6 linked regions of the Rattus norvegicus genome follow. The protein of the gene in region 2 interacts with the protein of the main gene of each other region in a pairwise test. Links are inferred from orthologs where the notes say so. Each region holds a gene or a part of one and is shown on either strand. Other genes may lie near its edges. The genes, in order: Cdk4, Setdb1, Tk1, Mrpl44, Tsc22d1 and Mbd1.

Region 1 (4,096 bases), on a different chromosome or scaffold from region 2:
TTACCAGGGGATCTGTCCATCTCGCCACAAGAATGGCACTACAGAAGCACCTGACTTCTACGTGGATTCTGGGGATTTGAACTCAGGTCCTCAGTACTTATGCAAAGGAGCTCTACCCACTGAGCCAGCTTCCCAGGCCATGCCGTGTCTTGTCTTAACCCAATCCCTGCTCAGGCCCAGTACCAGCAGCAACTGCGCTCCAGATTCCTCCATCTCCGGCACCACTGACTGCACTGGCCGAGGTCCTCTGGGGGAAAAGGCTCCTCGAGGAAGAGAGACCTCTCGAGGCCAGTCGTCTTCTGGAGGCAATCCAATGAGACTGTAGGGACAGGACAACTGTCAGGAGGGGCCCCTTCCCAGCCAGTTGCTATGGAATGTTCCTTTCCTTTTCCTTAGTGGATACTTACTCAAAGATTTTGCCCAGCTGGTCAGCCTCAGAGTTCCCACAGAAGAGAGGCCTAAGGTAGAAAGATAGTCAAAGTACATTCTTTTAAAAACCGGAGTAACCGTTAAGTGGACCAAACTAGAGTGTGGAGCTAAGGAACAGGAAGTTACTAAATCCAGGGCATTTCAGATTTGCCCATGTGGTTTCTTTTCTAGGCAAGGTGATTGGTATGAACTGGGTAGGCTGGGACTATGGCTGGATGGCAGGGGACCATGCCTATGGAAACCCCAGGTTGGGTATCCTGCACTGTACATGCACAAGAATGGTCAAGAACAGATAAGTCTGTAAAAGACCTGGGGCAGAGTGTTTAGTTTAGTGGTACAGAGGCATGGCTGAGGGGTTGGGGATTTAGCTCAGTGGTAGAGCGCTTGCCTAGCAAGCGCAAGGCCCTGGGTTCAGTCCCCAGCTCTGAAAAAAAAAAAAAAAAAAAAAAAGAAAAGAAAAAGAAAAAGAAAAAGAAATAGAGGCATGGCTGAGTGTACGTGAGTCCTGATTCCAACCTCTAGCACCGTGAGAGAGCAGCAAAAGATCTGTGGAACTGAAGGTGGCTTAAGAGTTTCAAGTCCCAGCCAGGCAGTGGTGGTACATGCCTTTAATTCCTGCACTCTGGAGGCAGAGGCAAGAGTTCAAGGCCTGCCTGATCTCGTTTCTGTGTAGCCAGCGCTACACAGAAAAACCCTGTCCCATGGCAAACAAAACAAATGTTTCTAGTCCCATACTTCCGGCGAAACATCTCTGCGAAGATACAGCCAACACTCCACATATCCACAGGCGTTGCATATGTAGACTGCAGAAGAACTTCAGGAGCCCGGTACCAGAGCGTAACAACCTAAAGAGAATAGGAGAAATAAGTGAGTGTTGTCCTCGTAAACAACTGTTTGGCTCTGAAAACTTCAAGTACAAGACTCCTTAGTCGCTTTGGGAAACCACCAAGCCCTACCCCGAATCCCAACCTATTCCGGCTACTGTCTTACTGACCACAGGCGTGAGGGCCATCTGGTAGCTGTAGATTCTGGCTAGGCCAAAGTCGGCCAGCTTAACTGTCCCATTACTTGTCACTAGAATGTTCTCTGGCTTCAGGTCCCGGTGAACAATGCAGTTTGCATGAAGGAAATCTAGGCCGCTTAGAAACTGGCGCATCAGATCCTGGTTTTGAAGAAAGAAGCAGAGAACTGTGGAAACTATGTATCACTGTGTCCAAAATCCCAACAAGTTCTACTGCACATATCAATCCACCTCCACCCACCCCTCCACTCACCTTAATGGTCTCAACAGGCAAGCCCGGCGGAGGTGCTTTGTCCAGGTATGTCCGTAGGTCCTGGTCTATATGCTCAAACACTAAGGTGACCTTGATGTCCCGATCAGTTCGGGAAGTAGCACAGACATCCATCAGCCTGAGAAGAACAAATGGTCAGGAGCTGGCCATCCCCTTTGTTTCAACATGGCCTCTGGCGTTCTAGGGTCCCACTCCTGACTAACGGGTCCTATTGTCCTCTCCGCCCCACTCCCAATCCAACCTTCTCACCGTACAACATTGGGATGTTCAAAGGCCTCCAGCCTTCTTAACAAGGCCACCTCACGAACTGTGCTGACGGGAAGGCCCCCTCCAGCTGCTCCTCCATTAGGAACTCTCACACTCTTGAGAGCCACAAAGTGGCCACTGTGGGGATCTCGGGCTTTGTACACCGTCCCATAGGCACCGACACCAATTTCAGCCACGGGTTCATATCGAGTGGTAGCCATTCTCGGAGCAGGGGATCTACAATCACAGAGGCTTCTAATACCAAGCTCTCTCTCACAGTTAGGAGGAGATGACCCGGCAGTAACAAAGAAACTCCTGCACAAGACCTCACCAACATTATCACCAGCATCCCACCCTCCACACATCCAGGGCCCGCGCTCCTTAGGTAACACAAAGACTTCCAACAAACCCTCTTCCAGCCACGTTTTGTCCTGGAGGAAGAAAAGAATGCTTTCTTTTCTTTCGGAGGACCATTGCGCCCGGCACAAAGAAGATCACAGTGCACAGGGCTTGCATGGAACAGTCTGCGCTTCACTCTCTGAAATCACACCCTCGCCCACGACCACAAAGGCCCCACTTCCCGCCATTGGGCCACCTTCCATACTCAGCCAGCGACGCGCACGCGTGGGGAGCTGGAGGGTGCTAGTGCTCGTGGGGACTGGCCCCCCGCTTCTGGAAAGGGTTGCACTCACCTTACGCTCGGCCAAGAGCTGCGGAGGTGGCCCTTTATCTGGGCCCGGGAGCCGTTTCCTGCGGCGCCATACACCGGGGATCGGTCCCGGGCAGCTGGACGCTTCGGGCCAGACCATAGACACAGGCCGCGAGCTAGAGAGGCCCCCTCACCCCCACCCTCACCATGTGACCAGCTGCCAGAGAGGCGCGCGGAAACCCGGGAGGCGGGGCCGACGGCGGACGTTCTGGACACGTGACCTCCACCCATGCGCACTCGGCGACCGGGGCCCCTTTGATGGGAGGGGTGTGGTGGGGGAAGAGGGCGGGACCTGTACTGCCACGTGACCTGTTGCTATCCCACGTGACCCCTTTACTTTGCGCTGAGAAGCGGAGGTGTGGTTACGCTGTGTGGCACGTGACCGGCTGCCAAACCCTGACTGCGGAGGGGGTGTGTGGGGGCGAGAGAGGGTGGGGCACAAGGCGGTGCCATGGCAACCGGGCCAACCAGCTCTCAACGCTCAGCTCAAGGCCGAGCCTGAGAGCATCTTCAGTCTCACTACGCGTCTCTATGTGGGCGGGAGGTCGAGGTGCTAGTGGGAGATCCTGGTGCCAGAGATGGTGCTGTAACATTTCCACTCCACCGCCATGGGGAAACATTCGTATTTGTGTCTTCATTTTACTCATTCATTCAACAAAATTTTACTAAGTGCTTCCTTCCAGTTGGTATGCGATGTTTTTGTTTTGGTGTCTCAGTCACTCCGCCCTTTGAAGTGATGATAAAGATAGCTAATAAGGCAACCGTGGTCTTATAAAAACAGGGAGTAGACAATTTCTATCCGAGGAGGAAACTAAAAGATGGATAGAAGAAGATTAACATAGTAAGCCGCTGTATGGGGGGCGACAATGTAATGCCCTCCTTCTTCCCAACTTGTAAACCTCCCCAGGAATATTAAAAGCAGCAAGAAGTTATTGGAAATAAGGGTTCTTGATCTTACAAGTGTCTTTACACTAAGATTGCTATATATATATGTGATTGCATGAACAGACAACAGGGTGAGCACATCCAAGGGCAGTCACCACCACATTGCTGGAATATGACTTGTGTCCCTCTGCAAACCTGTGACTCCTCATAGGGGTCACATTCCTTTTTTTCCCCAGTCCTGCTTAGAACGTACCCTTGCCCTGATCAGCGTTTCCTAAATGGTCTGCCTACAGAAATCTAGTCAGATAGAGGTAGATCTGTGTGACGATTTGGTTGGCTCCAACTCCTTTATTGTCTCCCATCAATTAGGAGCATGAGGATAAAAGACCATGTTCCCAACTGTGAAGAATTGCTAAAATCTAGACCTATTTTTGGTGCCGAGGATTGGAGTCAGTGTTTTTATATGTAGTAAGAATTGGTTCAGTCACTGAGCTATATTCCTGAACTTTAAACTCTCAAATCATATTTGAGACAC
Region 2 (3,500 bases):
ACTTATTTATTATATATGAGCAAACTATAGCTATCTTCAGACACACCAGAAGGGGACATCAGATCCCATTACAGATGGTTATGAACCACCATGTGGTTGCTGGGAATTGAACTCAGGACTTCTGGAAGACCAGTCAGTGCTCTTAACCTCTGAGCTATCTCTCTAGCCCTTCCACCCTGTTCTTGAATGTCTAGTCTTCTTCCTCTGTCTATGTGCTGAGAATATTGGTACATGACACCATTCGTGTGTGTGTGTGTGTGTGTGTGTGTGTGTGTGTGTGTGTGTGTGTGTGTGTGTGTGTATGTGTATGTGTAAAAGCTAGAAGTTAATGTTGGGTGTCTTCTTACCTTATATTTCTCCTAATGTCTTTAGACAGGGTCTTGCACTGAAGCTCTGACCAGTCGGCTTGGCTAGGCTGGCTTGCTCACTGGTGGGTGGGCCATCATTCTTTTTGAATCCACCTTCCCCCTACAATGCTAAAGTTGCAAATGTGTGCCATGGCACCCAGCCTATGTCAGGGCGAGGTGTCTGAGTTAGGCTGGAGGATGTTTCAGCAGTTAAAAGCACTCGATGCTCTTGCAGAAGACCCAAGCTCAGTTCCCAGCCCTTGTATTTAGCAGTTCATAACTTTCAGTAACTCCACTTCCAGGGTACCCAATGTACTCTTCTCACTTCTTTTGGAGGGCTGCACATACATGATATACAGAAGTATGCAGGCAAAGTACCTAAAATTTAAAAAAAAATCTTTGAAAGAAATAAAAGTTTGGGGGGGATGAAAAAAGAAACAATAGGCTGTGTTGTCGCTCAGTGGTGGACAGCTCTTACTTTGCTTGTGGATCACCAGCATTGATAAGAAAAAGGAGTAAGCCAGGCAGTGGTGGTGCACACCTCTGATCCCAGCATTGGGTAGACAATGGCGGGGGATCTCCGGAGGCTAGCTTGGTCTCCAAAGCAAGTTCCAGGACAGCCAAGGCTGCACAGGAAAACTGTCTCAAAAAAAAAAAAACAAAAAGAAGGAAAGATGAAGAAACAAAGAAGAGGGAAGGACTGATTGTTTCATATTAGTTTACTATATCTAGGGGTTATTAAGATTCTGCATAAAGTGAAGTGTCTGTTTCTTTCACAGGAATTGCTTCGGTTTGCATGTGGCTTAGTTTAGTATTTAACTTGTATATGCATTTGCACATTAGCCTCTGTACGTAAGATAGTCTTGGTTTTCTTCTCTTGAGGGATTTTTTTCTGTTGATTTTTGGAAGTGCCAGCTGTTCTTTCCTTTAAAGATATGTCCTTCCTATACTTAGCTCTGCTTCTTTCCTTTGGACAGTGAAAAAGACTTGGGAGGACATAGAAGACAGCTCCTGCCGAGACTTCATAGAAGAATATATCACTGCCTATCCAAACCGCCCAATGGTACTTCTCAAGAGTGGCCAGCTTATTAAGACTGAGTGGGAAGGCACATGGTGGAAGTCTCGAGTTGAAGAGGTTGATGGCAGCCTAGTCAGGATCCTCTTTCTGGTAATGTTCTTCCAAAGAACAATTTGTGGTAGTCTTAGGGAGCCAGGTGCCAGGGAAATGGTAAATTGAGTAAAGACACTTGCTGTCGAGCCTGATGATAAGAGGTGACACATGGTATATATTCTCCACAAGAGACAGGATTGAGTCTAACCATGAACTGCTTTTCTCCCTCCCTTTGCCCTGCCTCCCAGGATGACAAAAGATGTGAGTGGATCTATCGAGGCTCTACACGCCTGGAACCTATGTTCAGTATGAAGACATCCTCAGCCTCTGCAATGGAGAAGAAGCAAGGGGGGCAACTCAGAACCCGTCCTAATATGGGTATGCCGTAAAAGACACCCGGGGAGGGAAAAGACAGGGCAGACTAGCACAGAAAGTTAATGTATGGCAGCTGCCCTTTTGTTTACCACAGCAACACCACCAACTCACTGGATAAAGACGTGTTTAAAATATTTCCATTAGTGTTGGTGGCTTTGTGGACCTGCCTCCACATTGCTATGATTTTTATTTATTCTAAATATCCACATATAGCCAGACATGTTGGTGCACACATGTAATCAGTTCCAGCACTTGGAAGACAGAAGTGGGAACATCTGCAATTTAAGACCGTCCTTGGCTACTCAGTGAGTTTGAGGCCAGTCATGATTACATGTGACCATGCCCCAAAAAAACAAGTCTTTCCAAAACCAGTGTTTACTAGTATACCCTCTTACTGGTATAAATAGTAAGAACAAAAGAGGTTAACACTTAGAAAAATGTGTCATTTACCACTTTTGTATGAGAATACAAGCATACTCATATCAAAGTGCTTGTGTAATCAGAGGACCATCCAGCTTTAGAATTAATCTTCCTTGTTTGATCCAAGTTGTGTTGTTCATTGCTACATGTGTAAGGCTAACTGCCCTGCATGGGGGATTCTCTGTTCTCCACCCCCTACTTCCCTGCAGCAGCACTGGGATTACAGACACATGCTGCCATGCCTGGCTTTACATAGGTTTGAATTCACGTCCTTGTGTTTGTGTCACTGAGCCATCTTTATATTCTATTTGCTGCATTCTTCTTGTTCTCATTTGTGTTGGGTTTTCTTTTTGTTGTTTTTCTGAGACAGGGTTTCTCTGTAGCTCTGGCTAACCTGGAACTCACTCTGTAGTCTAGGCTGGCCTTGAACTCACAGAAGTCTATCTACTTCTACATTCCTGGGACTACTGGTGTGCACCACCTCTGCCTGGCCATTTCCTACGTGAATATATTACATTAGTTGATAGGGTTTGTGCATAAGAGTATCTGGCACAGCTGTCATCCTCTCAACAGTCAGTTTTTGTTGGTTTTTCCTGTAGGTGCTGTGAGGAGCAAAGGTCCTGTTGTTCAGTACACTCAGGATCTAACGAGTACTGGAATCCAGTTTAAGCCCATGGAGCCCCTGCAGCCTATAGTCCCACCTGCCCCGCTTCCCATGCTTCCTCTTTCCCCCCAGGCAGGCGACAGTGAGTAAGTGCTCGTCAATCTTTTTACTTCCAGGTATTCTGTTTGTTTGTTTTTTACCACACATACCTTCGGAATCCTTACTATATGGTCTCTTCTCAATCCCCTTAGAAGCTTAGAAAGCCAGCTTGCTCAATCACGGAAGCAAGTAGCCAAAAAGAGCACATCATTCCGACCAGGATCTGTGAGTTCTGGCCATTCCTCCCCTACTTCGCCCACACTCAGTGAAAATGTACCCCCTGGGAAAATTGGAATGAACCAGACATACAGGTAAGAATACCTCAGACACTGGGCAGTTGGATGGACTCCAAGAGCCTTTAAAGTCATGTCAGTGAGAAACATGGTCTTGAAAATGCAGCTTCTGAGAAGCTGGTAATAAGAATAGTTAATTAGAAATTTCATGTCTAAGAAACACACTATCACCAGAAAGTCATTTGCCAAAACTTCTTGAACATTGTAACATCATTGCTTCAGCAGAAAGACCATCAGGTCTTCTCCTTGAC
Region 3 (3,500 bases), on a different chromosome or scaffold from region 2:
AAGAGAGAAGCGTTGGGTTGGGGGCTCACAACCATTATAAGAAGGGAACTAAGAAAGGTTTCAACAAGCAGATAAGCCAAGGTGCAATGTCCAGTAGGAATGGCAGGCCCCGCCCCTTTCCCTGCTCTCTGGGAGTCCAACCTGGGGAAGGAGCTGGCAGGCCCCGGGTCCCCTCAGTTGGCAGAGTTACACTGTAGGATTTGCTGAGGGGCAAAGAGCTTCCTGACAGCCGGGATCTCTATAGGCTGCCCCAGCACTGAGTAGTTCTCTTTGTTGTCTGCAGTCTGGGCTGAAGACTTCTTAAAGTAGCACAGGCGGCAAACAGAGTGGTACTTGTCCGCTCCGCCAATCACCTCCACCTGGTAGGAGAGGCGTATGAGGGAGGACTCAGAAGCCTAAGCCCACCCCACTCCGTGGGCAGAAGCACAAGGAGATACCTCTTTCTCCAGGCCCAGCCTCTTGGTGTAGGAAGCTTCTCGAAAGCACTCCATGCACACAGCGGTGAGCTTCACCACACTCTCGGCCAAGGGCACCAGGTTCAAGATGCTGCCGAAAGCCTACACAGGACAGCAAAAGTGTTAGCCAGGCACTTCCCTCCCTGCCTGTGTTCACGTGTATGCGTGTGGAGGGAGTTCTGCGGAACTGACGCAAGCCTGTGTGCAAGGCAAGTGTGTTACAGCCTGGGCTGCCCCCAGCCCAACGCTTCTCTTTTAAACCCCATGATTCAGCAACATCATACTTTACTGGTCCTGCTTCACTAGAGAGCTGCATGGGGAGACCTTGCATGCTGTCTCCCCTCTCAAGACCGCTGCCATGGGTCAGACATCTTTACCTTCCTCTGGAAGGTTCCGTCCAGCGCCGCCACAATCACTGTCTTGCCTGTATTGGCCATCGTTTCACAGAAATCCACAATGTCAGGGAACTAGGAAAGTTCAGAGAGGATGAAGTGAGCCGTCCTGAGCAAGGGCCTCATGAAGACGGTGAGGGATCCGAGCACACAGGTAAGCCCAGAGCCGGAGATCAGACCGCACTGCCACTCCTGTGAAACATCCCACCTGCATGCCCACTGCTACCCAGGGCTGGCCCACAGAGGCCTCTACATACCAGAGAGGCTGGAACAGCAGTTCTCAACTAGTGGGTCGAGACCCCCCTGGGGTTGAACAGCTTAAACAGTGTGCATGAAGCCCTTGGCTCCACCCCCATCCCCTACCCCCACATCAAATGAGCCAGACAAGGTGTCCAACACAATACCACTACTTTAAAGGTAGAAGGATTAGGAAGTTAAAATAAACCAGGGCTGGAGAGATGGTTCAGGGGTTACAAGCATGGCTTGTTCTTATAGATAACTAGAATTCAATTCCCAGCACCCACAACAGATAGCTTACAAACCATCTGTAACTCCAGATGCAAGGACAGCTAATGTCCTCTTTTGGCATCTGCAGGCACCCACCCTCACATGCACACATGCACTTTTAGCCCCCATGGACAGCTGGAGGGAGGAAGGGAGGGAAGGAGGAGGGGGACTCTTGGTAATGAGATGTACAAGGCGTACGTAAGTAGGTTGGCAGGGATAGCTGCCCTCCGCCTTCCACTGTCTCTCAGGCCAGCCTCCCCCTTCACAGCACGGGTGTAGACCAGGTTAGCCTTGAACTCAGGAGATCTACTTGCCTCTGCCCCTGAAGTTCTAAGATTAAAGGCCTATGCTATGAGCCTGGCGCTTCCATTTCGTTTGAGCTGGGTCTCTTCCTGAATCTGGAGCACAGCTACTGGGCTGGGCTGCCTAGTCAGGGAGCTCCAGGGGCCTGCCTGTCTCTGCCTTCCTCACACTGGGATTATGGACATGTGGCTATACCCAGTGTTGTACACGGGTGCTAGGGACCCAAACTCAGGCACTCATGCCTGCAGAGCCAGGGCCTCCCTCACTGACAGAACTGTCTCCCCATCCCTTCTGTCTCTCACTTTTGATTGGTTACTGCTGTGCAACCCAGGCTGGCCTGGGTTGCAAAGCAATCTCCTGCCTGCCTGGTTCTTGGACCTTTTCTTGAACATATCTCTGCCCTACACCTTAACGTTCTAACCTTTCTCTTCTTCCACGGTCCCTCCCAGTTTTAGTCTTTCAACGGAGGTGAGGTGGAAGCTCCAGATTTATCTCCAGACCTAGAATGCCGCAGCCAAAGGGCAGAAACTTGGAATGGATGCGATTGGTCCCTGGACTCAGCCATTCCCACAATAGTCACAGCATGTGACATGGCTTGCTCTATAAAAACACACGTGTATAATTAGAAGCGTCCAGGCTGGACTGGCATTCATCAGAGTCCTGGCACTGGCTGAACATAATCTCTTGGGTCAACACCAGGCAAGGCAGGCACCCTGGCCGCATGAATAAAGACCCTTCCTCAGTCTCACGTGACCACTGACAAAGCAGGTGCAGTCTATGCCAGAAGCAATCAAACAAGCACCACCCTTCCGCCAAAAGGAGCTCGGTCCCCTCCCGGAGGGCCACTGTTCCACGACTAGTGTTTGCCCCGTGGCAGGCTTTAGAACCCACAATATTGGCTCGCAGGGCATTCCTGGTAGTTTCTGGTTCAAAGACACTTAAGTGGCAAGCCTCCTTTGTCTGGTGTGCTCCTGCTGTGCCCTACATTGAGCCTGTCATTACTGCGTCAAAAAGAAGGGAAACAAAGTTCTTAACGATGCAAGCTTCTAATCTTGCCCAGAAGCTGTGGGCCCTGCTTCTGGTGAATGAACACACGGGAAGCTCTATGTCCTCAGCTCTGGCTCCAGGGACCCTACAGGACCCTCTACCCACTGTCTGAGGACACAGGAAGGAAGGGCAATCTCCTTGTGTTACCACGAGGAGATCCTGAACTTAGTAAGGAACAGGGTCTAGAGTCTGGGGCGGAAGCACACAAGAATTGTGTTGTTTATACAGTGCACACTGAATACTCACTGTAGCCTGTGCGAGGGCCCATGACTACACAATACCAGCACTCAGGGGCCCGAGTTCTAATCTAGCCTGGACCACAAAGCAAGACCCCACCCCAAAACTCCAAGTAGCCACTAAATGAACTCGTTTTCCTTAATCATAAGGTGGGGTGGGGGTGGGGCGCATAGAAATAAATCTCTCCTATAGGTTAGGATGGGGAAGAGGGTTGGGGCGACTGGTAGGCTGGTGCCAGACCTGGGTATGAGTCTATCAAGCAGGAAGAGCTAAGAAAAGAAGGTAGTGGGCTGGAGAGATGGCTCAGCGGCTAAAAGCACTGACTGCCCTTCCAGAGGTCCTGAGTTCAATTCCCAGCAACCACGTGGTGGCTTACAACCATCTGTAACGGGATCTGATGCCCTCTTCTGGTGTGCATGAAGACAGCTATAGTGAATAAATAAACAAATCTTTAAAAAAAAAAAAAGAAAGAAAGAAAGAAAGAAAGAAAAGAAAAGAAGGTAGTGCCTAGGGAGTGCGGCTGGGCCTCTGGGAATACCAGGAGAGCACAGAGTAAGCA
Region 4 (4,010 bases), on a different chromosome or scaffold from region 2:
CGCCTTTCCTCCATGTCGGACTATACACAAACATTTTCTCCTTAAAAAATAAACCAAAACGGGGCTGGGGATTTAGCTCAGTGGTAGAGCGCTTACCTAGGAAGCGCAAGGCCCTGGGTTCGGTCCCCAGCTCCGAAAAAAAGAACCAAAAAATAAATAAATAAATAAATAAACCAAAACAAAACAAAAAACTTAAAAAAGCTAAAAATAACTTAAATCTGCAGAACTCACAACCCAGCATGTATTATTTGCTTTCCAGGGTATTGGCAAAAGAAAACTGAAATAACAACCACAAAGTTACCATAAAAAGTTTGGGCTGGGCTGGAGAGATGGCTCAGCAATTAAGAAAACTGACTGCTCTTCCACAGGTCCTGAGTTCAATTCCCAGCAACCACATGGTGGCTCACAACCATTTGTAATGAGATCTGATGCCCTCTTCTGGTGTGCCTGAAGACAGTTCAGTGTATTCATATACATAAAATAAATAAATCTTTAAAAGAAATAGTTTTGAGTCTTTGTAAGTTTTGGGAGGTAGGAACATTCTGTTCTACCAACATCTAGCAAAGGAATGCATGAGAAAAAGACACTTCCCCCTCTGTCTACATCGAGCAGGTCTGGACAAGTGCTATTAACCATTACCCACCCTGATGAACAGTGCAGCCCTCTCAGGACCACTGCTCTGGAGCAGGGCTCCAATTACTGCAAAGAAAGTCCGACGTAACACAGGCTGGGGGACAGGAAACTCCGCACTGAGCGTCAACTGCTCCACAGCCAAGTTACTGGCCACGTGACAGACAACTGCCTCACCAGTAAGAAAGTTAACTAGACTCTCAATGCCTTCGGTGGGCAAGTTTGGAAACTCGTCTTCAAGAAACTGTGTGAGGCACCGATGTGAAAAAGACAGCCCTTGCTCAAACAGTTCTTGATTGTCCTTAAGATTCAGAAGAGCGGCTTCTTTCTCTATGCCGAGGTTCTGACGTTTCGCCTCTTCACTTTTGATGTAGCAGCTATTGACAAATGCTGTTTTGAGAAGGTCCAACGAAAAGGCCTCTTGTAACCGGGACCCAAAGGCTTGTATCTCCGCATGGTAATCCCAGTTTGGCTTCTCTGAGCTGAGGAGGTAGAAACAGTAAGAGATGGTAAGGAGAAGGGCATGGTACCACGTACAACTGTGCTGTAACTATTACACAGAGGAACGCAATCATTTTATTTTTCTTTTATTGTCGGGTTTTGACAGTTTAGATACAAAAAAAGAATACAGGTGAACGCTGACAGTCCTTTATCAGTCTCCATAAATGTGGATTAATTTTTTCATTTTGGCTTCATTGCCATATTAAAGAGACTGTTCACATCAGATTAGGCTGCTCTTCTAGCTTTTAAGTTCCTTCCTTCTGCTCTAACTGTGAAATAATGCTTTCCACCTGAGTATGAACAAATTATAACTATATAGATTCAGGCCACAAACTAAAAGTAATTCTATTTAGCTTATATCCTATTTATTTAAATCTCAGAAATGTCCACTTGAATTTCCAGTTACATAAGCTAGTATCAGTATTCTAAGTGTTTTAAAAGTTCATAACCATGGGTGAGAGTTGAGGCTGTTGTAATTCAGCGGTAGAGTGCCTATCTAGCAGACACAAAGGCCTGGTGTGTGCAGGTACACTACACAGTCACACACAGACAAGAATTAAAACATCTTTTCCTAGAGAAAAATATAGCCAAAACAAAACTCTTTAAAGAGAGAGAAGAAACGTAGAGAGATCTAAGTTGAAAATCTAAATTTGTTTTCTACAGTTTTTCCCAATTTTAATTCATGAATCTTAAAATACCCACCTGTCTACTGGGCAAGGGAATGAAAATTAAGACATGATTCTGAGTTTTGCTTATTAAGCCACAATTCTTTGTAATAGAAGGTGTGTTCTCACTGGTGTTAGTGTGAACAGAGGTCAATACTCTCCTGGAGGGCAATATTAAGGCAATCAAAATTTCAGCTCAGGAATAACTAGCTAGAGACAGTTTCTGCTTCACATGTGTACTAACAATCTAACGAAAGTCAAATGCCAGTGCAACTGTAAGAATGAAGTCGACCTTCGTGTACTTTTGTCCACAAAGACAGAGTAAACAGAATATGCAAGATGCAGGATCATATATGAGCATGATGCACTTAATAAAAACGTGTGGAGTTTTTTGTTGGTTGTTTTCATTCGTCCTCCCCCAGCCCTCAGGCAACAAGATTAATTAGATCAAAAACCTAAACTTTTACCCTCTTACTCCAGGCAGTGGACACGAAATTCAGTTTACATAGAACTAAATTTTTCTGCCCTGGTACGCAACGCTGTAGAATGAACGATCCTATTTCTCTTAAAGGTACCCAATTGGCCTGAGATTAGGAAGGGACAAAATTGGGCCAATTCCAATTACAAGCAGTTACCCTCTGTCGGATCCCACTTATTTTCGGCTAGTGAGATTCTGCAGGGGGCAGCCCGGCCTCTGTCGCCCAGTTCCTCTGCCCCAGGCCGGTGGCGGACACGTCCCCACCGCAGTTGCAGGCAGGCAGCTGCAGCCCAGTGTCCTCAACCATTCGACCCTCCCGAGACGCCTACCGTCGCACCGGCGGTGGCGGGCTGCGTAGCAGGCGCCATCGCTCCAGCTCCTTCTGGAAGCGGAAGGCGGCACGGAATCCCTTCTTCACTCCCCGAACTGGAGGAACCAACGTAGGGGCGGCCGGAGCCAAGAGGCGGCGAGGGCCCTGCTGCAGCAGCCGGAATACAGCAGAAGCCATGGCAAGAACAGGGCAATGGAGAGCGGAAGGAAGACAGCCGGACCGGTGTAGTGGGAACGCGGTTGCCCGGAAACTGGTGCAGCAACAGAAAGAGGCCTCAGTGCTGCAGGACACCCAAGAAAGTGCGTGACTAGCATAGTGCGCATGCGCAAGTGCTTCTTTCTGCCCATTCTATAAATATGGGTGCAGAAATTATTGGGAGACAGTTGCTTGACCCTGTCAGTCTCTCTTGTGTTTATTTCTCATTAAAGCAAAAACAAAAACTAGTTTCGTTTTCGTTTTAATAAAAAAGGCAACAATGTCCCTGCGGTCACCCAGTTTAGACTCCAGGGTCTTTAGGTGTGCCTACTTTCACAGCTTGTTCTGGTTACTAAATTATTTTTTAATTTATTTCCTTCCTCTCTTTGGTTATTGTAATTGGTTTCCAAACAAGACTAGTATCTGTCTTCCTGCCCAGGAAATGTATTTTCACCTGCTTTGAAATACTGACCAAGACATGTTACTGCCCAGTTAGGGTGTTTATGCTAGGATTGTGCACCCTCGTTTGAGCTTTTTCAAAATGGAGAATCTGAATGGCTATAAACGAGCTTCTAACAGATATCTGGTTGAAGCAAATTTTCTAAAACAAATCAAAATGATATTAAAAGCATTGAAAATTCGTGGACCATCAGATAAATGGATTCCAAGAAACCACAGGGAATTTTCATTTCTGCAACATAACATTTATTGGTAGAATTAATCTGAAGCTGGTTGATGTAACTGATGAACCAGCCTGTCTCATCTTTGACTTGAAAGCCATCTTACAATAAAGACAAACTACATTTGTACCTGTTTATGATTAAATCTCTGTTTCTCAAAGACTAGGCTATACCCCACCAGTCACCTTAGCTACAGATGGTTCTGTACTGCCTGTTCCAGGAATAGCAACCATGCATTTGTTTCAAAAGGTTATCGTGACCACATGTTGTTATGACCACTTTGCAACCACATCTTTGTTTCAGGAGGTTATTACAACCAACTTCTTGTGCTTGTGTTTTGTGTCTGTAACTCTGCCTATTTGCCTGCCAAATCCCACATCTGGAAACCCCCTACTCTGGACTACAAAAAAAACCTCTTATCTTCCCTAGATCTAATGCTGATCTCTTGAACCGCACCTTCACTGAGAGGCAGCCAATGTACACAAATTTTAAAGATTTGCTTTAATTAATAGCTTTCTTTATTTAACTTG
Region 5 (3,500 bases), on a different chromosome or scaffold from region 2:
AAGAAAACCCTGATTTCCAGGCTAGGGAGACGGCTCACTCTTTTACCTTACAAGATGGGAGGTGCTTGCTACACAGCATGTGAACCTGAGTTTGGACCCCAGAATCCATAGAAAAGCCTGCCTCAGAGGCACAGGCTTCTAATGTCAGCACTGAGGAAGTACAGACAAGGGTATCCCTGAGGCTCACTGGTAAACCAGCCCAGCCAGCACAGTGAGCTCCAATTTAATCTCAAAAAATAAATTGGACACAGTTGAGGGAGACAATTGACACTGACCTCTGACTTCATGATCACATACAGGCATGCAACCAAAAATAAACAAACAAACAAACAAACATGAAAAAGAAAACCCACTTGTTCCTGTATAATACTTGAGGGCTATGAAACAGACACTATTTACAAGGCTGACACCATGTCACCTTAAGGAGCAAGAAGATAGCAAAGTCACATTGCTCATTCAATTTATTACATAAATTATAGCACCTGCATTTCTAATGGTGTGGTTAAGATGACAAAGTGAGCTGTGCCTTCATCGGAAAAACAGAAAAAGATCTGCTAAGTTTGTTGAAAAAAAAAAAAAAAGAAAAAAATTTTTTTTTGTTCCTGCCCTTGTGGGAAAGACTGGTAAACATCATTATCACCAAATATACAGTACTTAAATAGGACAGTAAAATGTGCTGAGGAGACACCCCCTGGGGAAGAACAATCTTTCAGAGGGAACATCTGAGCTTTGCTTATAAACAAGAATTTCACATAGCACTGTGCTAACAAGTACAGAACATTAGAGCAAAATAACTGTGTCTTCCAGTTCCTGCAAACGTTAAGTCACGTTAAAGGCGAAGACATCAAGACCTTTATAATAAAATGGCCTTTAAAAAAAATGTCGCATGATCTTCCATCGTCTGCAATGTTTAGTCTCCTCTGAGTAACACAGTGGCTAAGAGGACAACCCGAAGGCACTTTCCCCATGTCTGAGCATCTAACTCTAAAGAGTAGACTATATCGCAGTATATACGCAAGGGTGATCTCTCTCTCCTGCCACCAAACAGTTTCATGTTAGCATTACTTCCTGGGTCATAAAGTGAAATGAGGGCACAGCCCTTTCTTCCAAAGGAGATCAATGGTGACAAAGCCTGCAGGATGCAGGTGACACAGACTGCGTGGAGCAAAGGCAGTGAGTGGCTCTAAGGCTGCTTCACTTTTGCCTCTCCTAGGTATTTCCCAATTATCTCCCAAGGGCAAATTTAAGTGATTTTTTTTTTAAATCAAACTACAGTGAGATTAAAAACAATCTGCAATAAAACACAATTAAAAATAGACCTGGATGGTCGGTCCTGCATGCTCCTTGGCTGGGGGACTAAGATCTTAAGAGAACTTGAAGGAGGCCTGGCAAACAATGTGTCCAGTCTTGATGACTCAACTTTGATGTGAACTGACACAGGTTTGTAATGAAGTTCAAAGACAGTCTGAGGACTGCTTCTGTTAGTTACTGCACACAACTACCTCACATGCCCCCATGCTGCTGCCCTGGAACATAACTCCACCCCACTGACTCCTGACCCACCTTCATCTCAGTCACTATGTGTCTACTGGGAAAGGGCTCTGCACTCTCACACTGGGATTCACCCTACAGATAAAAGCTAGTGCACAGTATCCTGCCTTAACTGTGGACAGGAGGTCTTCCCAAGGCCTGCCATCTCCCTGCCAACAGGAGGAAAACAATGGAAGCCCTCTTAGGAGCCCACAAACAGTAATTAAGAAAACCTCCACGGTTTGTAAGCAGTGTGCGGCTTCCATCGCTCTCTGTCACCTGTCTTTGACATCCTAGGTCAGCTTCTGTATTACACGGTTAAACAGGAGCTTCGCTTGAACTGATTTAGATTTAGGAAACCAAAAAGAGTAAATAATTTCTTAAACTAAATTACAGGTGAGGTTCAGAATGATAAAGATAAAATTAAAGGTTGAACAATAATTATAATTGGACTACTACAGAAACTACATCTTACAAGTCTCTCTTGTGAAGTACTTCTGTATGGGGGTAAGGACTACATTTAGTTAGTAACAAAATTTAAGTATATGACTACTAGAAAAAAACACTAAAAAAGTATTTTCCCCTGATTTCAAGTATCATTATCTTTTAAACAACTTGGGGGAAAATGATGAAAACGTCACTAAAACACATGGCCATTTTTTCTCTTTATAAAATTCTTTTGCAACAGTTTCAGTTTTTCCAAAGTAAACCCACGAATATACAAATAGACTATAAATGCTTCAATTGGAATGGTTGAAAACTTAATGTCAAAAATCTCCAACAGATACTAAAATAACTCTCTTAAATGTTTTTCAAAACTTCAGTGAAGAAGTCTTTTTACAACTACTATACTTCTGTTCACTATATACACTGGCAAAATTACAAAAAACTTTCCTTTAAAAAAATCTTAAAGCAATGTAGACATAGAGTTCACAGCTTCTCTGGCAATCTGATGCATTAAGTGATTAGCATATTATTTCCAATATGATTTTAAAAAAAAATGCTGGCCTAATACTGACTTTTAGACTCTGTCTTTTGGCAAGAGAAGAAACAGGTGGGACAGATTAGCCTGTATAAAATCAGCCCTTTAAGACTGAGTGCATGCTTTAAAATGGCTACCACTTTTATCTACTCTCAAAAGGAAAAAAAGTACAGCCATTACTTACTACTAAGGATAAAGTAGGCATTTTGTCCTCGAAAAACACGCGTTAAGACTTCTATTCCTCCTCTGTCCGGACAGAGTTTACAAAAGCCGGTTGCTAACAGTATGAGGACAACCTACATCACCCAGATTAGGTCATCTTTCCCACAGTGCCTTAGGAGGACAAGCAGGTAACAGTATCTTTCAAAGCCTGAGATCAAACTTCCTAGGAAACAAGAAATGTGGGAGCCACAGCGCCTAACAAGAAATGATCATTAAGATTTTAGTAGCTCAAAAGAATAGCTTTAACTATTTCGTGGGATAACCAAATCTAAGCTGCTTTGCATAATCTTCTCAAAAGCACTTTATAAATAATAAAATCTACCTGGTAGCCCCGTCTATTTGTAATATACACTTACACTTTTATAACTATCGTGAACATTATGTTCATAACCTAGTCTGCCTCCCAACCACTCTGAAACCATTCTGTAAGATTCTTACCCTGGAAAACTTACCATGAATATGCACTTCTCACATGCAAATGGAAAGGCATATATATACATATGGACTAAGTGCACCCACACGTACTGCTGCTAAAGAGATCAACTTTGAACTGCCCGATGCCTGCAGAAGCACATGATCTTACCTCTCGTCCTCGCCATCCACCAGGGGTGTTGTCAGCGGTAGCACCTTCAACGGGAAGAGAGAAGCAGAGGCTGCTAGGCTGCTGCTACTCCCATCTGAGACTGCTGACACTCCCCCACTGTCACCACTGAGAGTCTGAGGTAAGCCGCCTGAGGAGGGCTCCGCTGGACGCCTGGTGTCTTCC
Region 6 (4,249 bases), on a different chromosome or scaffold from region 2:
TGTGTCTTTGCTTAAAAACACTGTAACATTTGTTTCTTACGAATGACTCCAGGACTGTTAAAGAGTAAGAGCCACTGGCTTTAGAGGATGTTTTATCTAGGTTTGCCTGCTGATATTTTGTTTTTCTAAAGATACCTGCCGTACAGAACCTGTACTATAAGTACCATGTTTTTACATCATATCACCTTCTGAAACATGCAAGCCAGCCAGCATCAGCTGAGATGTTTATGTTTCTCTGGTTTTTTTTTTTTTTTTTTTTTTTTTTTTTGGTTCTTTTTTTCGGAGCTGGGGACCGAACCCAGGGCCTTGCGCTTCCTAGGCAAGCGCTCTACCACTGAGCTAAATCCCCAACCCCCGATGTTTATGTTTCTCTAGTGCCCACTGACAAGTCTTTGGCTTTCCTTAGAACAATGCAGGTCACCAGGCTTTACTGCCCATTGGTTCACCGTTTCACAAATTTTGCTGTTTACTGTTGTTCCTAATTTTGTGGTGTTTAAACAAAATCTCAGGCATTCGATTTTACCACAGAAGACTTGGGAGCCAGATGCTGGGGTGAGAGCATGACAGCTCAGAGAGGCAGAGAGAGCACCCAGCAGACCTTCCTCCTCAGCTGACAGCCCAAGCAGTCCCTACTCATGCAAAATCCCTTCCTCAAACTGAATGTCCTCCCTTCTACTGTGGATCCCTCTGTCCACCCTTCTGACTACCTCTTACTCTCCATAATTCTTTAATAATCTTATGCTCACTTCCTGTCAACTGGCTGCTTGTTCTGCCTCTTGACCTAAGGTTCAGCCACACCACAGCTAACCCCAGGTTTCCCCCCCCCCCCCAGTAAATACAACTAATCCCAGGGTTCACAGTGTGATTAAATACCCTACAACAGTATCTGCTCTTTCCAGAACAGCCTCACACACATCTGAACATGCTTCCTCTTCTCTTTCCGGATGGACCATTTCTGATTTTGAACGCTGTAACTCAACCGGATAGCATTGCAATTCATGCGTGTAAGAAGCCTATCTGGCAAGGAGAAAAGGCAGTATCCTTGCTCTCGGAGCACTAGAAAATACTTCAGCAATTGATTTGGGAATCATTTTAAACAACAAATTTGCCAACAACAAAAATATGGCTCTAAATAGACGGTGGACCAGTTTATAGAACCAGAAAGAATGAGAGAGAGAGAGAATATATAAGAGTTCTTATTCAACTTTGATTCCAAATACATGCACTAGGCAATTCAAATTCTTTAGCTATCCCATGTGTGTCTGTGAATAATCACAAATGTACTGTGAGTATCGACTTTGATCAAATAAACTTTATTAAGAATAGGTGATTAAGAAAACACAAAACTTTTAACAAGGACTATGTGCACAACTTTAACCACATCCATAGATTTAAACACACCACCCCCTTTAATTACTAACGATGTCCAACTCCACTGAACGCTGTCCACAGCCCACCCGTTACCTCCGATAATAGATGTCTGAGCGTCCACACGAGGCCCCTGACTTTCGAAAGGCCTCTCGGCGTTTCCAGCCAGGGCCCAGGGCTGGGCAGTCCTGCCAGGCCTCAGCCATAGATGCTTCAGAAGCCTGCAAGATTGGAAGAAGGTAAAGTATGGGGAAAAGTGGCCAATTATTTCCAGGCCACAAAAGCCATACGTTTCCTTTAATACTTAACCCCAGATTAGCACAAGTATGTCCTTGGTGCAGGAAATACTCCCAGTCTTTGACTTAACAGTCCCATCCCTCCTTTTTGTTCTCCTCCAAACATGCATATTACCCCTCCTCAGTCTGAGAAGACTTGTTCCTCCTACTCTGGGTAAGAGGCCCCCAATTCTTTCCTTCTCAGGATACTACACCAGTGTTCTAACCACACATTTAAACTTTCCTTCACCTGAATTTCCAATGTCTTGCAGTGCTCTAGCTGCATCTCTGTGTCTGAGTCCTGGATTCCTCCATACACTGGATCAAACATTCTTGCCATTTCTCAGGCTGGAAGCCTCTCATGTGTTCTGTTCCCCTTACGTTCAAGAGCTCTCCCCAAAGTTTATTTTTCCCTCACTTATTCCGATCCATAACTCCTCTCCAGTCTCAGTCTCAAATGACTCTATTGCTCACCCCTATGGCCAGTGTTAGCTACTCTTTCTCTTAACTGTACGTATCATTCTCCATTTCTCTTATCATCTTGTGAAACTTCCTTGTTCCTCCACAGTGACCTGCCTCTCTTATTTCTTAGCCTGTGTTCCAGGACAACGCCATAGCCTCCCAACCATCAGACATTCTACTTCCTTTTTGTTCGCCACGAGTCTCCAGTCCGTCCCTCATTATTCTAACCCTACTATTTCTACTGTCTCGAGGCCCTATCCTTGCATTATCAGCTTTGGGACCCCATTTCTATCCTGTTAACACGAAGGCCCAATGACTCTCTGAACGTTCTCTCTCTTCTTCTCCTGGCCATCCTGGTCCTATAATCTCAACATCACTGTCAATGTCCTGAGCCACATCTTTTCCTTTTCTGTCTTCTTATCCAGTCCCCCCAGTCCTCTCTTTCAATATCCGGAAGTAGCCATTCCTTCCCCTGACGTGAGGGCCCTTCGCGTCTCCCCGCTAGCGTTCGGCGCCTCCACAGACTCCTCCTGAGCTCTCGCCACTCCCACCGCTATCTCACCAGCTTGACACCAGGCTCGCAGCTTCCTCGGCTCTAGGCCGGTGGACCCATGGGAAGGATCCCGCTTGCGCGACCCGCCGGTTCTACTCTTCTTCTTCCTCCTCTTCCACCGCAGCCTCTTCCAAAACAGTAGTTGTCGCCTCTGCGGCGGTTGGTTAGTCCCGGAACCGGAAACCCAATGCTTGCCTTTGGGGCTCCGACTAGGACCAGCACCTGTGTGTGCAGCCTTGTCACGCGTGCCCTCAATGGGGAGGCTCCGCGCCTGCGTATTGCGGTTTCAGGGGCGCGCGGTTTGTCGGGAACCTGCAGCGCCTGCGCACTGACAACACCCGCAGCCCGCCGGGTCTCTCTTGACTGTGCGCCTGCGCACCGAGGATGGTGCCCAGTCAATGCAATCTTCCCTGCTGCTGGTCTCCAAAGTGGCTCCAGACACAAGGGGGCGTGAATTGCCTCGCTGGCTCGGCCCACTCTTAATTTACGTCTCCACAAAAACCACCAGCAACGAAGTTAAGCCTGTCCACTTCCTTTTCCCGGAGACACAGCTCCTTTGTTCCTGTGATTACCTTCTTCAGGACTGGTACCCACTTCGTGAATAGGATCACAGCACCCTGGCCAGGGTCCCTTCTTGGGAAACAAGGAGGAGGCGTGGTATGCAAGCAAATATAATGAGGGCGCCAAGGGAGAGATTGCCATTCCTCAGAGGCCCAATAGGAGAGAATGGTGAACTGACCAAGGTAATTTATTTTGCTTTAAGACGACTCCGTTTTGCGTGCTTCACACACCTGCTCCTCGGCACTGCTGTGTTATGTGTGTTACAGAGTTGGAGAGTTCCAGACGACTGGGAAAGATCACTCGATGAAATCCAATTAGCTGAATTTTATTAAGCTGGCCAGCTAACTGCACCCACCAGATCTAGATAAGAGACTGAAACCCAGGCTAAAAGGGAAGGGGGAGTTTTAAAGGCAAAACCACAATTGGTTCATTTATGAGGAATTTGTAGCTATGTGAGAAAATGCTTTTCTTCCACCTTGCATACAACCATAAGCATGTTTAAAGAAGTCAGAGCTAGCAGTTAATCACTGCACAGTAATTACACATTTTGGGGACATGGATAAAGAGACTTTGAGGATTCCCTGGAGTTGTTTCCAGGTTCTGCTGATAGACTGAAGCCCTGAGGTAAAGTAAAGCACACCTGAGGAAAGTGTCTTGATTTGGGCCACACTACATTCTCCACTGGTTCTGAATCATGTGGATCAAATCACTGATTCATATTCATGTTGGGCTAAATGGTACTATTTTGCCCGTAGGAACTCAGAAGTCACAAGTTTTGGTTCCTTAGGGCTAACATAAAGCTCCTAAGTCTGTTGATCCAGCCATTCCTGTCCTTGTAAGGAGAAGAATGAGAATAGCGGAGCCCACCCTCTTGTTTCTACTGACAACTCTGGCAGTCAAAAGGTGTTTTCTACCTTCAGCCCCATTGTGTGTAACACACACACACACACACACACACACACACACACAACTTTTGTTTACTATTGATAAACAATCAGGGGCCCAGAAAGGGCAATGTTATCATTTGACT

The links.
Region 1: the proteins of Setdb1 (region 2) and Cdk4 interact in a two-hybrid assay, tested with the Homo sapiens proteins (2 studies listed by BioGRID and IntAct). The link is inferred for Rattus norvegicus from reciprocal best matches to the Homo sapiens genes SETDB1 and CDK4.
Region 3: the proteins of Setdb1 (region 2) and Tk1 interact in a two-hybrid assay, tested with the Homo sapiens proteins (2 studies listed by BioGRID and IntAct). The link is inferred for Rattus norvegicus from reciprocal best matches to the Homo sapiens genes SETDB1 and TK1.
Region 4: the proteins of Setdb1 (region 2) and Mrpl44 interact in a two-hybrid assay, tested with the Homo sapiens proteins (2 studies listed by BioGRID and IntAct). The link is inferred for Rattus norvegicus from reciprocal best matches to the Homo sapiens genes SETDB1 and MRPL44.
Region 5: the proteins of Setdb1 (region 2) and Tsc22d1 interact in a two-hybrid assay, tested with the Homo sapiens proteins (2 studies listed by BioGRID and IntAct). The link is inferred for Rattus norvegicus from reciprocal best matches to the Homo sapiens genes SETDB1 and TSC22D1.
Region 6: the proteins of Setdb1 (region 2) and Mbd1 interact in binary tests that used the Homo sapiens proteins (3 or more experiments, as listed by UniProt). The link is inferred for Rattus norvegicus from reciprocal best matches to the Homo sapiens genes SETDB1 and MBD1.

What each region holds. Positions count from the first base shown.
Region 1 is NC_086025.1:64,770,157-64,774,252, reverse strand, and holds the start of Cdk4 (cyclin-dependent kinase 4), read right to left. Parts: upstream 2,801-4,096; 5' UTR 2,660-2,800; intron 2,205-2,659; 5' UTR 2,189-2,204; coding exon 1,971-2,188; intron 1,840-1,970; coding exon 1,704-1,839; intron 1,592-1,703; coding exon 1,424-1,591; intron 1,275-1,423; coding exon 1,165-1,274; intron 459-1,164; coding exon 408-458; intron 320-407; coding exon 184-319; intron 1-183.
Region 2 is NC_086020.1:185,601,983-185,605,482, reverse strand, and holds part of Setdb1 (histone-lysine N-methyltransferase SETDB1), read left to right. Parts: intron 1-1,324; coding exon 1,325-1,515; intron 1,516-1,706; coding exon 1,707-1,836; intron 1,837-2,852; coding exon 2,853-3,003; intron 3,004-3,108; coding exon 3,109-3,267; intron 3,268-3,500. UniProt on the Homo sapiens protein: Histone methyltransferase that specifically trimethylates 'Lys-9' of histone H3. H3 'Lys-9' trimethylation represents a specific tag for epigenetic transcriptional repression by recruiting HP1 (CBX1, CBX3 and/or CBX5) proteins to methylated histones.
Region 3 is NC_086028.1:103,534,778-103,538,277, forward strand, and holds part of Tk1 (thymidine kinase, cytosolic), read right to left. Parts: intron 923-3,500; coding exon 833-922; intron 558-832; coding exon 438-557; intron 360-437; coding exon 174-359; 3' UTR 1-173. UniProt on the Homo sapiens protein: Cell-cycle-regulated enzyme of importance in nucleotide metabolism. Catalyzes the first enzymatic step in the salvage pathway converting thymidine into thymidine monophosphate.
Region 4 is NC_086027.1:88,553,840-88,557,849, reverse strand, and holds the start of Mrpl44 (39S ribosomal protein L44, mitochondrial), read right to left. Parts: upstream 2,801-4,010; 5' UTR 2,783-2,800; coding exon 2,604-2,782; intron 1,113-2,603; coding exon 644-1,112; intron 1-643. UniProt on the Homo sapiens protein: Component of the 39S subunit of mitochondrial ribosome. May have a function in the assembly/stability of nascent mitochondrial polypeptides exiting the ribosome.
Region 5 is NC_086033.1:58,162,778-58,166,277, reverse strand, and holds part of Tsc22d1 (TSC22 domain family protein 1), read right to left. Parts: coding exon 3,318-3,500; intron 1-3,317. UniProt on the Homo sapiens protein: Transcriptional repressor. Acts on the C-type natriuretic peptide (CNP) promoter. Acts to promote CASP3-mediated apoptosis.
Region 6 is NC_086036.1:70,143,803-70,148,051, reverse strand, and holds the start of Mbd1 (methyl-CpG-binding domain protein 1), read right to left. Parts: upstream 2,801-4,249; 5' UTR 2,668-2,800; intron 1,590-2,667; 5' UTR 1,575-1,589; coding exon 1,465-1,574; intron 1-1,464. UniProt on the Homo sapiens protein: Transcriptional repressor that binds CpG islands in promoters where the DNA is methylated at position 5 of cytosine within CpG dinucleotides. Binding is abolished by the presence of 7-mG that is produced by DNA damage by methylmethanesulfonate (MMS).